Linked DNA regions of Macaca mulatta. The protein of the gene in region 2 interacts with the protein of the main gene of each other region in a biochemical or structural test. Links are inferred from orthologs where the notes say so. Each region holds a gene or a part of one and is shown on either strand. Other genes may lie near its edges.

Region 1 (3,821 bases), on a different chromosome or scaffold from region 2:
CATGTTACCCAGGCTGGTCTCGAACTCTTGGGCTCAAGTGTTCCACCCACCTCAGCCTCCTGAAGTGTTGGAATTACAGGTGTGAGCCACTGCACCTGGCCTTGAGATTTTTTTTTTTTTTTTTTATTCAGAGTCTTGCTCTGTCGCCCAGGCTAGAGTGCAGTTGCATGATCTTGGCTCACCGCAACCTCCACCTGCTGGGTTCAAGCAATTCTCCTACGTCAGCCTCCCGAGTCCCTGGGACTATAGTCAGGCGCCACCATGCATGGCTAATTTTTTGTATTTTTAGTAGAGATGGGGTTTCACCATGCTGGCCAGGTGGCCTCGGACTCCTTACCTCATGATCCACCCGCCTCGGCCTCCCAAAATGATGGGATTACAGACTTGAGCCACCGTGCCCGGCCGAGATTTTTTTTCTTACCTGTCTTTGAATCTCAGCTTGTAGATTTCATCCGCCCCAAAGCTTTTTTCTGTCCCTGCACACACAGGCTGGATGTGATCCCTCCTTCCTCCAAATACTTAACGTTCCTCTTCGCAGCTGCCATGTGCATTCGCATCCTCTGTGTTGTTTCCGAGTAACATGTTATGACATAGTCTGTGAGTGCCTTGTGGGACAGGATACATCTCTATACTTGAATCTTGCCCATCTCCATGCCAGGTACACTTGGCTCACCTAGCTTTGCCCCTGCCCTGACTGCCTCTCCCCACAGGCTACATTGGCGTGGTGAACCGCAGCCAGAAGGATATTGAGGGCAAGAAGGACATCCGTGCAGCGCTGGCAGCTGAGAGGAAGTTCTTCCTCTCCCACCCGGCCTACCGGCACATGGCTGACCGCATGGGCACACCACATCTGCAGAAGACGCTGAATCAGGTACTGCAAGGGTTTGCAGAGTAGTGTGCAGTGGCGTAGGCTGTGCACTGCACAATAGCTGCAGTCCTCACTGGCACTTGTTTCAGGCTAGAGCAGCAGTTGTTTTAGCAAAATAGGTTCAGTCCACATTTATTTGTGCTGTAATAAATGTACTTGGCCAGGTGCAGTGGCTCATGCCTGTAATCCCAGCACTTTGGGAGGCCAAGGCAGGAGGATCACTTGAGCCTAGGAGTTCGAGACCAGTCTGGGCAACATATGGAGATCCTATCTCTAGGAAAAATAGAAAAAAATAGCTAAGCATGGTGGCATATGCCTGTAGTCCCAGGTACTCAGGAGGCTGAGGCAGGAGGATCACTTGAGCCTGGAAAATCAAGACTTCAGTGAGCTATGTTCATGCCACTGCATTCCAGCCTGGGCAATAGAGTGAGACCCTGTTTCAAAAAATTAAATAACTAAATAAAAGCAATGTACTTGATTTAGGGTCTGGTGAAAAGCAGATGTTCAGTGACTTGGTGCTGCTACTATTACAACCATCGCTGTTATTACCAATATTTTAATTACCATTGTAATTATTCAGTCATTTACCCAGAAGATTGTATGCATTGCGTGGTATTGGTGACGGGGTTTATAACGTTTTTATTTATTATTATTATTATTTTTTTTTTTTGGGGGGGAGACGGAGTCTCACTCCATCACCTAAGCTAGAGTGCAGTGGCATGATCTTGGCTCACTCCAACCTCCACCTCCCAGGTTCAAGCGATTCTCCTGCCTCAGCCTCCTGAGTAGCTGGGATTACAGGCATGTGCCACCACACCCGGCTAATTTTTGTATTTTTAGTAGAGATGGAGTTTCACCATGTTGGCCAGGCTGGTCTCAAACTCCTGAGCTCAAGTGATCCACCTGCGTCAGCTTCCCGAAGTGTTGAGATTACAAGCATGAGCCACCGTGCCTGGCCTATCGTTCTCTTCTTATAAGTAATATATTCACAGGGTGCATAAACAGAAATGGTATTAAAAGCTATACAGTGGGCCAGTGCGTGGTAGCAGGGGCAAGATGTTCCTCTGTGCTGTTTTCCAGCACCTTCCAGGATGGCAGCAGGGCCTCAGCAGCACTCCAGGAGTCATCTTTTCACGCACATATCGGGGCACGCAGTGTCCACACGAGAGCAGGTTCCTGTCCTTGTGGAAGGCATAATTCTAATGAGGGAGACTGACACCAAACAAACCACCAGAGAAATGCACGATCAAGAATCCAGTAGGGGCGGGGACCGGGAAAAGAGCCACCCAAAGAAGGCAGCTCAGGAGAGCAAAGAGGGAAGTCAGTGTCTAGAGGGAGGGGCCCACCAGGAGAGGAAGCTGGGGTCTGCCTGCAAACGGGAGTAGGGAGAGGAAGGGAAGTAAAACTCCACAGCTGGCTGGGTCCTCCTGAGAGCCAGCAGCGAAAAGCCCAGGTGGCCACCAGGGAGCCTGGAGGGGGCTCAGCCTCCTTTCGCGTGGGGTGCTTCCCAGAGCAGCAGTGCCCCTTCCTCTCCATTTGCTCACGGCTTCAGTGCAGTAGTATCCTGTCAGAGACCAAGGGAAGGCCAGCGTAGCTCCCTGCCTTTCTAGGCAGCCCACACAGACGGGGGTCCATGGCCGGGGCTGCAGGGCAGGGATCCCTGGTCAAGGAGATCTTTGGGGTACCCCACTGGCTCCATGCCATAGATGTGAGGTTCCTTCATGCCTCTTTTCTAGCTCACTGGACACTTTTTATTTTATTTTTATTTTTTTGATGAATTTTTTTTTTTTTTTTGAGATAGAGCCTCACTGTGTTGCCCGGGCTGGAGTGCAGTGGTGTGATCTCAGCTCACTCCAACCTCCACCTCCCAGGTTCAAGTGATTCTCGTGCCTCAGCCTCCCAAGTAGCTGGGATTACAGGTGTGCGCCACCACACTTAACTAACTTTTGTATTTTTAGCAGAGACAGGGTTTCATCACATTTGCCAGGCTGGTCTCCATCTCTTGATCTCAGGTGATCCGCCCGCCTCAGACTCCCAAAGTGCTGGAATTACAGGCATGAGCCACTGTACCCAGCCTGGCCTTTTTTATTTCTCACCCCCCGCCCCAAGATGGAGTCTCCCTCTCTCCCAGGCTGGAGTGCAGTGGCGCAATCTCAGCTCACTGCAAGCTCCGCCTCCCGGGTTCACGCCATTCTCCTGCCTCAGCCTCCTGAATAGCTGGGACTATAGTCACCTGCCACCATGCCCGGCTAATTTTTTTTTTTTTTTTTTTTTTTTTGTATTTTTAGTGGAGACAGGGTTTCACCACGTTAGCCAGGATGGTCTCGATCTCCTGACCTCGTGATCTGCCTGCCTTGGCCTCCCAAAGTGCTGGGATAACAGGCGTGAGCCACCACCCCCGGCCCATGCCCGGCCTTTTTGATGATTTTTCTCTGTTATCCAGGCTTTCTGATGCATTTTACTCTGTTGTCCAGGCTGGATTGCAGTGACACAAACACAGCTCATTGCATCCTCAGCCTCCTGTACTCAAGCGATCCTTTTGCCTTAGCCTCCTGAGTAGCTGGGACTATAGGCGTGTACTGCCACACTCAGCTAAGTTTTAAAAGGTTTTTATTTTTGGTAGAGAGAAGGTCTCACCATATTGCCTGGGTTGATCTCAAACTCCTATCCTCGAGTGATCTGTCTCAGCCTCCCCAAGTGCTGGGATTACAGGTGTGAGCCACTGCACCCAGCCTTGATGAACACTTTCTAAATTCTTCTCTATTGTGGGACAGATGGCAGAACTCTGCTTTACACTTTTCAAGTATAGGCTGATTTTATAGCTTTGTTTTTCTTTTTCTTTTCTTTTAAATTTTTAAATTAAAAAGAAATTTTTTTTTTGACAGTCTTGCTCTGTCACCCAGGCTAGATAGAGTACCATGGTGTGATCTCGGCCCACTGCAACCTCCACCTC
Region 2 (3,678 bases):
CAGAGAGCACAGAATATTTTTCTGTCATACCATGTCGCCTCTCCGGGTACATTATGTGAGATATTGTCACATTTTTATTAACAGTACCAATATTAACAGCATGAAAAGTATAGGGAACAAAGAGTCCTTTGGCCAGCGTACCTTCTTTTCTATATCGATAAAAGAAGTCAAATCCCAAATACAAGATTGTAGCTAGGCATGAGACTCTTTAGAGCTTTATGGTCTTCCTGAGGGTTACCAGTGTTGCTTCTCCTCATGGTACTGATATGCATGATTCTAAGCATAAGGTTGCTTTCTTTTATCCTTGATGGATTTGAAACCTGCTGACCTATCTATCTTAATTGGCTTATCACACAGTCATCAGCACCACCAAACAGGGTCTGTGTGTTGAGTGCAACCTGTTGTATGTATGAAACAGTAGTGGCTGTTTAAGGATGGTAACATGGAAACTAAGGCATGATTTTCCCATTGATCTGCAGATTGAACAAGTGAGCCAGCTTTCTGCACTTGTGCAAGCTCAGCTGGAATACCACAAGCAGGCAGTCCAGATCCTGCAGCAAGTCACGGTCAGACTGGAAGAAAGGTATTCTACAGTTCCCTGCATTTCATATTTGCATTTCATTGCTATAAAATGATATATACAGAAATGGAAATCATAAAATACATTTGGAGACAAACATCTGCCAGAATTCCTGCTTATCCTAAACAGGCACCTTGTGGATTGTTTTGATTTTGTTTTTTCTTGTGCTTTGTTTGTTGAATCTAATTTTCTGTTTATGAGAGGTCGATACTTGGGTTGTATTTTGGTTGCCACAGGTGGGACACCAGGATGCTACTGCTGATAATGGATGCTGGATACATATCATTATCAATCTTATAACAGCCCTATAACCTAAGTATTTTTAGCCTCGACTAACAGATGAGTAAACTGAGGCTAAGAGAGGTGAAGTAACTAGCCCAGGGTCACTCAGTGGTACGAGTGGAGTTCACAGCCAACCATAACCTGTTTGAAAGGCTGTTTCTTTTCACATCTTGTGTTTCTCTGAATGGTGGTCAAGTCCACTGCCATCAGAGAGAGCCGCTTTCACCTTGTTCGATGTACCTCACAGCAGGGCTGTGGTAGTAGGAAACTACCATGTGAATGTGGCTCCGTGGAGTTGTGGGGCACAGCCTGTGTGGCTGTATACCAGTGGTCCTGTGTTATAATATAATATGTGTTATTTTAATTCAGCCAGATCAAACAGGGTGATTTTGCTGAACACGTATACCTCAAAGGGTCACCTCAGCAGGCTTTTTTCTTAGGCCACATGGCCAGATTAGACTCTCATAGCTGATCACGTGGCTGCCTGCATGATGAAGACCCCAATCATACGATTCCACGCCATTGAAAACATCACCTATTTTCATTGTTTTCCCTCAAGCTGATCTCATCTCAGCATCTTCTTAGATTCGTGGTCTAACTGAGCATTTTCCTTCAGCGCACCCTTGTGGAAACTTATGTAACGCTGAAGCCTCCAGAAAGGTTTTAAAACCATATACTTCAAAATACTAAAGAAATATTATGTGTCTTTGTAATGTCTCTTGAGCATGAAGGGAGCACTTTCCTTTCTTTCCTCTGAAACATGTTCAAAGTCAGTATCATTCTACGGTTACCATACCCTAAACCCTCACCCTCCCTTGCAAATCTCTTACATACTTTGTTTATTGAATACCTGAAACCATGGGAATTATTTAGGGGTGTGTAGAAGACAATTATTGGCCATACCTTTCCAATTTCCTTCTGTCTTCCCTCTTTCCTTTCCTCTTCCCTATATCTCAAACTGCTCATTCTTCTCACAGCACACAGTGTATTTCCTCCTTCCCTCTATCCAAATCTTCTCATGTTCTGAATGGAATAGCTCCCTTTCACATTTTCATCTGGAAACAACTCCTGTGTATCTTTTAGTTCTTTCCTTAAACCTCCTCCACCTTCCTTATGGAGAGGTAGACTCCTTCCCACCCTCACCCCCAACTACACCCCTGTGTTCCTGTGGCACTTTGTAGATATCTGTGACAGTGCTTACTAAAACTTATGGTCATCAGTTGTTTGTGTTCTGTCTCCCTTACAGACCATAATCTGTTTGCGTCTTTTTTAAAATTGAAAAAATTGTGGGTACATAGGTGTATATATTTATGGGATACATGAGGTGTTTTCATACAGGCATGCAGTGCATAAGAATATCATGGGGAATGTGGTATGCATCCCCTCAAGCATTTAGCTTTTGTGTACAAGAACTGTGTTTTAATTCATTTCTGTGTTCCTGGTACCTAGCACAGTGCATATTTGGATAAAGGACTCTGAATAAATGAGAGAGGAAGTCAGGGATTGAGAGAGAGAGTGAAGACAGTGAGGACATGGCCCCATAAAGGGGCATCACCAAAATCTCAGACATGCACACACAAGAAAACTAAGGGTCCTTGTTTGATTTCCCACACTTCATCATGGTAGCATGGTGGGTGACCCAAACATTTCCTGAATCTTTATATTTCCTTTTGTTTTTACTTAACTGGCCACATAACCTTTCCCACCTCTTTTCTTTTTCCTGCAGAATAAGACAGGCCTCAGCTCAGCCTAGAAGGGAATATCAACCTAAACCACGAATGAGCCTGGAGTTTCCAACTGGAGACAGTACTCAGCCCAATGGGGGCCTCTCCCACACAGGCACTCCCAAGCCTTCAGGTAAGGAGCTGAGACGGCAGATCCTATTGCATAGGCCTTGGCATATCCATTGGCACTCTTCCAGAAACTTTAGGAATAATCCAATCTGGCTGCATAGGAAATATGCAGTAATAGATTTCTTATGGAGTGGTTTGTCAGGTAGAAACTCTGTTAAAGGAATCCTTTTGTCTTTTTTCATTTACCTTTTCTTTCCTTCCTTTTAATTCTGTATAAAACTTTATTTGTATATCCCTTTCTCTCTCAATCAGCAGCACACATGAACACATTTTATTTTGACCCTCCTTTGTGGTCGTAAATTGCCTTTCCTTGTCAGTTTGGTCTGCGTGTGTCATCTTTTCTCCTTCCTGTTCCCTCTGAATCCAGCCTGTATGACAATGAATGCCCCTGGACAGTGTGTCCCCATATGCATTCACATAGAGCCCACAGACGGCAAGCGGCTCCAGAAATGTGCTGATGAGCTGGATTTCTTGAGTCACAGAAGCATATGGTTAAATATATTTGCAGAAGATATTTTGAAACTCGACACTTGCTGGGTTTTCTTTCCCGTGCCTCACCTCTGATCACTTTATCATGCTGTGGCACTGGGGTTGATATAATAAAAGCTAGATGATATTTTATCTCAGGAATATCGATGCATACCTAATAGAGCATTCTTTTCCTTGTCACGCTTGCTCTCCACTCCCTACGTGCAGATTACACAACAGCCTGTGCTGGAGACATTTTCAACCTCCACATTTGCTTGTTTGAAGTGGGAACTGTCTTATACTGGATGTGGATGTTAGAGATAGACAGCTTTCTTTTATTTTTCCTGTATCCCCAGTGCTTGATGTTCTACGGTAGAAAACTGTTTGTAAGATGCTCTCAGTTATTAAGAAAAAAAATAAGATCTGAGCCAGCAGGTGGCGCTCTCTGCCCTTTGTGCTCAGCACTTCTGGGCATGGCATAAGCAGCTGTGGCTA

What was found.
Region 1: the proteins of SH3GL2 (region 2) and DNM2 interact in a biophysical measurement, tested with the Homo sapiens proteins (2 studies listed by BioGRID and IntAct, with this or other methods). The link is inferred for Macaca mulatta from reciprocal best matches to the Homo sapiens genes SH3GL2 and DNM2.

Annotation. Positions count from the first base shown.
Region 1 is NC_133424.1:11,521,203-11,525,023, forward strand, and holds part of DNM2 (dynamin-2), read left to right. Parts: intron 1-710; coding exon 711-871; intron 872-3,821. UniProt on the Homo sapiens protein: Catalyzes the hydrolysis of GTP and utilizes this energy to mediate vesicle scission at plasma membrane during endocytosis and filament remodeling at many actin structures during organization of the actin cytoskeleton.
Region 2 is NC_133420.1:81,360,082-81,363,759, reverse strand, and holds part of SH3GL2 (endophilin-A1), read left to right. Parts: intron 1-479; coding exon 480-583; intron 584-2,588; coding exon 2,589-2,719; intron 2,720-3,678. UniProt on the Homo sapiens protein: Implicated in synaptic vesicle endocytosis. May recruit other proteins to membranes with high curvature. Required for BDNF-dependent dendrite outgrowth.